Bombyx mori: one gene and its partner. The protein of the gene in region 2 interacts with the protein of the main gene of each other region in a pairwise test. Links are inferred from orthologs where the notes say so. Each region holds a gene or a part of one and is shown on either strand. Other genes may lie near its edges. The genes, in order: ubiquitin-conjugating enzyme E2-17 kDa and E3 ubiquitin-protein ligase RNF25.

Region 1 (4,389 bases), on a different chromosome or scaffold from region 2:
AGGAGGATAGAGCCCGGGCTGTGGCGATGTGTGTGTGTATGTTTTGTTGATGTCACAATTGACTCATCACATGGCATACTTCCTCGTCCACTCACGGGCTAATTCATTGTACTTTTCTCTGTCTGTTTTATAGATCCTAGCAATTTCTGGCACCAAAGGGTCGTCTGGGTTGGGATCGCATAGAAGTGAGCAGATTGAGAGCAACACTGGAAATTAAATAAATAAAAATTATTATACAGTAAGTAATTCACAAAATACACAACTTAAGAATAAATTTATTGATTTACCTTTGGATATGGTGAGCGCTGGTGACCACTGTGCACGCAGAATGTCAAGACAGATGGAACCATTACTGTTTATGTTAGGATGATAAATACGTGTTGTGAATGCAACTTTTGGTGGTTTGAAAGGGTAGTCTGTAGGGAAATGTATGGTAAGGAAGAAAACTCCTCCTTGATAAGGACTGTCAACCTGAAAATTTAAGAAAATAATTACTCATTAGACTGGTGAAAATCAAGTAGTTTTGTCATGAATAACACAACAATACTTACTGGGCCCATAATTGTGGCTTGCCAATGGAACACTGAAAATATATTTAAAAGTTATTAATGAATGTAAGTTATGTTATTTTGATATTTATGCAATTTTATCTTCGCTTTATGGAGATCACTGAAAATTAATACATAAAGATCTTTACTATTTAAAGAGTAATTTGATAATAATTTCCCTTTCCACACCTGTATCATATATCACCAAAATTAAGTGGAAAGATAATCAATCATATTTTAAATTATTTTATATTCAGTAGAATTCACAACAACTCCAGCTGTTTCTATCTACAAAAGGTCATTGACATCTATGGTGTCATTCACAGTACAGAACCTTTGTGGTTCTTTAAGTCATACTAACACATTTTGTACTCTTAATTAGGGCATGCTGGCTTGTCAATAATTATATTTACGGTAATTGATGCTAGAAAATATTTATTTTACCTTCTCATATAAATATCTTATGATTCATTCTGATGTAGGTACCAAGTGTATTATGAATAAGCAATCTGCTTGTCACATTAACAAAGTAAGAATATTTAAGTATCATGAAATGTGTTTTATTTCTACATATAAAACGAATGTTAGAAAACTTTATTAATCTCAGAAACCAACCTCTCCTGTTGCAGTATTTCACTTTTTTTATTTTTATTATACAATAGAATGAGTCATAAAAGGTAGATAGTAGGTTCTGTACTCACGATCTTCACCGTGTGGGCCTGCCGAACATTGTGCTGGTGGATCCCTGCCCAGATCTTGTAATTCCTAAACAGAAACAAAGCCATTTGAGCCCATGCGTAAATCAACGAGACAACACCACCTCGAGACATGTCACATCATCACTCTGAAAATAAAGACTGTGCATCGACTGACATCCCATTAGTTAACCTGACCGTTTCACAAACGCAGTAAATTTGATTTCTTCATTGTAATTCCACATTTGTAGTATTTTCACATCACAGGTGGCTTCATTGACAAGAAAACCTCAAAATTGGCACATAATTCCGACATTTTATGTACGCCGTGTGCACAAAATTGTCGTATATACATGAACCAGCAAAACACCGTTACGTATATTTACAGACAAGAACATTTTAAAGGTTCACATTTTATGTCCGTGTAAAATCACTACGAAGACGGAATTATCCAGAAAAATTCGATAATATGAATTCACAATGACGAAACGTTCAATACGTTTCGGCCAATTTTAAAGCGCACTTTTTGTTCAATTGTTATAATAGTAACATAAACTTTAATAACGTACCCTATTAATTCTTTTTAACGCCATTTGACTATTTTATGTTGAGTTATACTGACTTTCAACTAGACAACGAAACTGTGAGCCAAGGACCTTTGATTAGAGATTGCAAGATGGCTCCCTGTCTAAACGCAAAAGTACCACCAAAGTCGTTTTATGTGGTAATTGTAAAATCACAACAATTATATTCAAACGTTAAATTGTTAATTAACTAATAATATTAACTTATAATACAAAAGAGATAATAATTGGAACAAAGCACGAATTGATCGAAATTAAACACTTCTCAGCAAATGGAGAACAGCAAACAGGAAAATCGACCATGCACAGGATTCGTTCGGAAACACTCAAAGTTTTAAAACTCCCAAATTGAACGGCTTACGTTTAAAAATCACTCTAGCTATTTTTATTTCGTCAACAAAATAAAATTAAGACTTATTGTATTACGATAAAAGTTATTTAATATTCAATTAATTTTGAAGAACGTTAGTTCTTGTAAGAAACTATTTAAATTTTTATTTTTCTACTATAAACGTAAGCTTTACTGACGGCAACATCAAAAGGATATGATGTCACCAACTCTTTAGTCTCTAAGAATGCGTAGAGCGCTATTTTTGGATTATATACTGAAGATATTCATTACTGGCACGTCACCTCGATATTTAAATCACTTTTTGCAGCTCAACACTATCGAAGCAAAGTTATTCGTTTAGGTTGATCCGAGATTCCTAAATATTTTATAAACGCAAAAGAAATTTTATCAAAAATATTGGAAATTACTTAGAATTTCATTAATTTATGTTCACAGTAGCATGTACTTATTGTTTGTTGATGCTGCCTATAACTAATCAGTAGTAATAAATGTGAGAACTTGAAACCAGTCTTCAAAACAAAAGTATTTTCCTTCTTTATTTGAAAATTATTGTGTTTAGCTTTACAAACATTAATTAAAAGACACATAATGATTGTAAAATCATAGATTGAGTAGTAGTGAGTAGGGCACATTCTTGAACTGCACAAAAAGCTGTCGATTTATGGCCGTCGGACGTAAAAATTCTGAGTAACGATGAACTAAGCTTGCGTGTGAAGGTTTTCTACAGAATTGGCTAATGTTTTTTAACTGAAAGCGTAAGGATATTAAAATACATGAATACAATAGTTGTGTTTTAAGTCAGGTGCTATTCTGTAGTAAGCCATGTGACGTTTTTTTAAGCTCTAAACAAAATGTAGCTACGAATAAATACGAATAAATAAGGATTCAAGGGACACACTTTCGTGAAATAAATACATGGATTTAATGTCACAGGAAAAGAAAATGAAACCGTTCCCGTGGTCCAAAAATGTTGAATAACATAAAACAGCATTGATAAAACAGCATTGATTTTATATTTAAAGTTTAAGTATTACATAGGTACTAATAATTCTAATAAGTGAATATCCCTCCACCAGCTTTTCATGCTCTTTTGAGAGGGTTGAGTACTAGTGGAACTCCTACATCAGTTAGACATAATATGTACGTATCAGCTTCGTTGATAAGAATTTGAGCATTACTAAAAGAAAAATATTTTTATTTTTATGGCACTTTTTTATTTTCTGCTATTATTTCGGTTCATTCCAGAGTTGGATAGTACATATTTAAAAATATAAGTTCTTTGTCTATTACCTAGCTTCGGAACACCTTCCTAACACCCAGGATTCAATTTATGAGCTCTATACTCTGAACTACCCCTATAGACATAAATCAATCACGATTACACTAATCATTCTAGTACACGAAAAAACAAAGACGTAATACATTATTAATAAGCTGTAAGTTCGAAAGTTTACCACATAGAGTATAACACTACACAGACGTAAGAGAGGTCACTGAAAAATGGTAGATTGATAGTTTTCCATCACTGATAAATAGACACTTTGGTGATTTGCTAAAATACAAGTAAAAAAACTTAAAGGAATTGATCTATCTCGCGATTATACTCTGAACTGGTCGTAACCAACTTAAGAGCAAAATCAACCGATCAAATAGTTATTGGAGCTTATCGGGCGAATCTATGTCGATTACCATTAGGAATAGATGGATCGTAAGCTTGTCCGTCTAGAGAAAGAATAAAAAAATAATAGTTCAAGATTTTATAAGCTTGACGCTGGCAATTAAGCGTCCTAAGAAGTCGATTGCCACACTGAAAAAAAAAGGATATAATCGGGCTGTAAATAAATTGGTGTAGAGTAAATTTTTGAACAGTTGGCATCACTGTCAAACACATAAAATTCAGTTATAGTATATTATCTATGCTATTTGTACGCAGTTACTAATTTATTAATCTGTGATTCAGTTGTGAAAGGATTGTGAGTAGGGAATGATGTATTTTTTTAGAATAAATTAAAATTTAAAATCTCCAATAAAGTGCTTAATATTTATCAAGAAATTAGAATAAGAGTGGTATGAGTCTCACAAATATTTTGTGATTATTTATTCATTTAGCACTAAAAGCGATTAAAGAAAAGTGAATAAATAATGACCCTAACAATGACCAAAAAAGTTAGTGAGTGCCAAACAGAAACAGTGCAATTTATGTCTATTGA
Region 2 (4,302 bases):
GCCCCACCCTTCAAACCGAAACGCATTACTGCTTCACGGCAGAAATAGGCAGGGTGGTGGTACCCACCCGCGCGGACTCACAAGAGGTCCTACCACCAGTAAAAATTATAATATTATAATATTATTAATTATAATATTTCAGCAGTACTCATGCAAATTTGTATACGTTGCGAAATGCTGACAACATTGTCAAAAAATTCTAAAGATAGTGCCGCTCTATGGCTAATAATCAAAAATATTCTGGCGTTCTGTTAATACTTGCTCGCAGGCAAATCGCACTAAGATCTGACGTATATTGGAGAAAGTGTATCAATACTTGATAACAGCACCTAGCCTATTCCTGCCATGAGGCAGTGATAGTAATTACAGTATACCTCGTATGTTACATAGCGGCACTCACGTAGTGATTGATATCCCACAGATCCTTGATATCAAGATATCGGGCAGACTGAAATTGTCCACAGGTTCACACAATAAAAAATCTGGGGTTTCAAGATACCCTAACAACCGGCAATTGTTAATAGTACATATAGCACATAATGTTCAGAATAAATAATCGAAAAGAGCAGCTACCAATACTTATAAATGTAACTTAACAAAACAAAGCAGTGACTAAACAAAATCCTGAATTGGTAGAGAACATTAAGAGCATTATGTTATTGTTAGCAATAGAATAACATAAACCCCATGAAAACTCTTCTTATAATACAATAATCACTAATTTGGGATTGTAGTTGAGGAGAGAATCTTCAATATGAAAAATAGAGATTTGTTCCAGGGAGAACTAGTGACTGTGATGAAGAAATCTCATCAAAAGATTCTTTTTGCAAATGTTTGTGTTATATAATCCCTCTATGTATAATAAAAAGGACCCTCATCAAGACAATAAAACTGAACTACCTGGAACATTAATGGTTATATAAACCAGAATACCTAGTAAACATGAACAAACAAAACTAATAGTTACATGGAAATTGCTTTGACATTAAAAATGCCAATTTTTTTTAGATCCAGAGTGCTTTCAAATTATCACAAATACCCAACTTTTGTTTAGTAAATTTGAATATATAACACAAATTGTGTTTACTTTATAATAATCAACAAAAATATACATATAACTTAAATAGTCGACTTACTTATTATAAAAATTGTATAGGATAATTTAAATTAATTTAAAATTTTAAATATCAAATCAAATCAATATCAAATTAATTGGCTGGGTCTATGTTATGCATTTCTTGTCAGTAATTAGTGTAAGGGCATACACGTCTGTTAAAATTTGATAATTTTGATATTTTTATTGAAGTTAGTCAGCAAACGTAGAAAGGTGGCACGGCATGACACACCCTCTTATCGTAGTCACCATTAACCATATCACAGCCCAGATGGAGCGAGAGCTAACTACCACCTTCGATTTATGTGATGCAAGAGCAAACAACCCATATATGTCCTTTCGGATCTCAATCCACTCGTGTGTTTTTCAGCTTTGCCTGTGCTCTCGGTATTCTAAGCACTGGTTACCAATCTCCTTGAATTAGCCTAATTTAATGTAAGATTTTGATGAACGAAAAATATTTTCTCAATTGGTCACATTTCCGGTCCTACAGTAGTCCAATATATCACCACTGCTCTTGCTGGGGCAAATATTAGCAAATTCATTCAGGCTGAGCCCTGAGAGCTTTTTCACTAATTGTGGTGAAGCCAGTACAACCCTTTGAGACTACTAGCAGTAGAATATATGAAAACCTAAATAATTAAACATTTTGTAATTTGGTGTCCCAAACAAGTAGGTAGTAGTACTTCATAAATTAATTTTGCATTTATATTTTAGGAGCACTACTGAGTTGTGAAAATAAAGAGGACTGGACTCAGGCTTTTACCTCATTAGACATGTATATATATTAATGGAGATACCAAGGCCAAATTATTTGTCTGCTGTCTATTTAAGTCCAATCCAAAAAGAAGTCCTAGACATAGCTTCACTAATGTTCTAGCACAGATTTTTTTAACAAAAACATCATAGTATATGAATAAAAAAAGAATAATAATACTTGGCAAGCAAAAAACCAAATATATGTAATATGATGAATAAAAATTTAAATACACCACTGACCTGAGCTGACCACACAAAAGCTAAGAAAAAAGAAGTAAGCTTACTAGGTAAAAAGAAATCTCTCAATAACAATTTTGTTATCTATATCAATTCTCTGTGTACAAAGCTGTTTATAAAAATTAAAATAATTGTTAATCTTCATTCTCATTCAAATGTCTTCTCAAATTTTTATCAGTTTTATTTATAACATATTATGTTTAAAGCCAGTCAAGAAATAGAACAAAGCAAGTCAACTACCTACACTAATGCATGTTACTTCCATGTCTATAGTCAGTCTAACGAGTAATTGTGGCAACAATCTATCTATTTTCAGTACAAGAAATAAATATTGTAATTTTCCTTAGCTCAACAGTTTAAAATTCTAACATTTATTAAGGCCACTCGATTGTATAGTTATTTTTTATAATTATTCATTGACTTACTCCAATAAGTTCAAACACTATTGGTTGTCCCAAATTATTTTTCAATTTGTCTTGAATATGTGTGTTGATAGTGTCTAAAATCATATCATCTAGACCTCTAGGGTTTTTGAGCGCTACTTCTGGGCTGGTGTCTGGATAGCCAGAAGACAACCCCACCTCCAGAGTCACACATACATATTGCTGATCGATATTATCCCCCGTCAACGGATGGATGATCGTTTCAATTATGTATTTTGGGACATCTCCAACGCGTTTTACTACCACATCTTTCAGTAGAATTGCTTCTAATGCTTGCACCTCGTCCGTGATTCTGTTAAAAACAATAAAATGTTATACGAAATACAAATTTCATACAAATTTATTCCGAACAAGATATAACACACCTTTCATCGCCGGAGGACGACATTTTAGTGATTTAAAACTGTTCTACAAATTATTATTGATGCATTCAGCTCAGACTTCAGGCAAGCGCAATGCAGCTGACGCAGCTTAACATATGGTATAATATGTACTTTTATTTATGTTTCCAGCTTCATGCAAAGCTCAGGCTGCTCGCATTGATTTCAGCGAGGGGACTGAGGGGTGGGGAAGGCAACGACACTTCCATCCATAGACTTATACTGACCATAGACAATTACTGTGATTTTTTTAAAGCTTTTATAGTCTGGTAATAAGACGTTTACGCCAAGTCATATTTCTTTTATTATTCTGTTCTCTCAAAAATTATCTGAAGCGCAATTAAATGAAACTGATTAATTGAAGACTTTTAAGCAATTGGCATAAAGTTAAATGGAACGAGGTGAGATGGGATGAAATAAAAACTCGGTAAAATGTTGGTTTTTTATTGAGAGTGGACTTTTTCTAAGAACCCGAGAAGTCACGTGCAGCGGATTGTTTCATATTCACACTAGCTTTTGTCCGCGACTTCGTCCACGTGGAATAGTTACTTTGGCGTAACGCAAAATTTTACCCGCCTCTTCATTTACGTAGAAATTTAAAATATTTTTAAAGATGAAAATTGAAAATATTTTTACAAGATGGGTGGCGCATTTACGCTGTAGATGTCTATGGGCTCCAGTAACCACCTAACACCAGGTTGGCTGTGAGCTCGTTCACCCATCTAAGCAATAAAAAAAAAGAATAATAGAATGGGAGCTATTTAAGGTACCTACCACAATCACGCTTTATAACCGACTTCAAAAGAGGAAGTTAAAGCGGAAGCTCTCAAAAGGGAAAAAAACACGATATTGAAACATTATTTTTCTCCTACCTACGCCGAAAGTTCGGTTTTCTTCCCGCTGTACAGGGAAGAAAGTATAACTTTTCCTCCCGCTATACAGGGAAGAAAGTGTAATTTTTTCTCCCTGGGTACAAGTGCGCATGCGCGTTAGTGTCTACATCTGCTTTCACGCAGCTAAAATTCTCCGCCATTGTTGTGCTCGGGTAATTTGCAATATTGTGTTTAGTGTAAAAGTGAAATAAACAAAAGGCAATAAAATTTAATAGTGAAGTATTAAACAAAGATGAGTTTATCAGACAGTTCTTATTCAATTAATAGTAGTTTATATAAAAATTAAAAAACAGTTTAATTATTTTTTATGAGTATTGGGGCTGCGCCCCCCCCTACCGCCTGCTATGGCTTCGCCCCTGGACCCTAGCTCCGTACTCCACGAACTTTCGGCCTGGTAGGAGAAAAAATAGTATGTGCACCGCGGGAGAAAAGTTGGACATTTCCTCCCGTGTGTAAAATTGCTACCCGAGCCGAAG

The links.
Region 1: the proteins of E3 ubiquitin-protein ligase RNF25 (region 2) and ubiquitin-conjugating enzyme E2-17 kDa interact in a two-hybrid assay, tested with the Drosophila melanogaster proteins (2 studies listed by BioGRID). The link is inferred for Bombyx mori from reciprocal best matches to the Drosophila melanogaster genes CG13344 and eff.

Annotation. Positions count from the first base shown.
Region 1 is NC_085118.1:4,996,836-5,001,224, reverse strand, and holds the start of ubiquitin-conjugating enzyme E2-17 kDa, read right to left. Parts: upstream 2,879-4,389; 5' UTR 1,837-2,878; coding exon 1,813-1,836; intron 1,314-1,812; coding exon 1,250-1,313; intron 584-1,249; coding exon 552-583; intron 472-551; coding exon 288-471; intron 207-287; coding exon 67-206; 3' UTR 1-66. Other genes in the region: progestin and adipoQ receptor family member 3, read left to right, coding at 4,322-4,389. UniProt on the Drosophila melanogaster protein: Catalyzes the covalent attachment of ubiquitin to other proteins. Mediates the selective degradation of short-lived and abnormal proteins.
Region 2 is NC_085114.1:12,702,587-12,706,888, forward strand, and holds the start of E3 ubiquitin-protein ligase RNF25, read right to left. Parts: upstream 3,129-4,302; 5' UTR 2,942-3,128; coding exon 2,919-2,941; intron 2,846-2,918; coding exon 2,536-2,845; intron 1-2,535.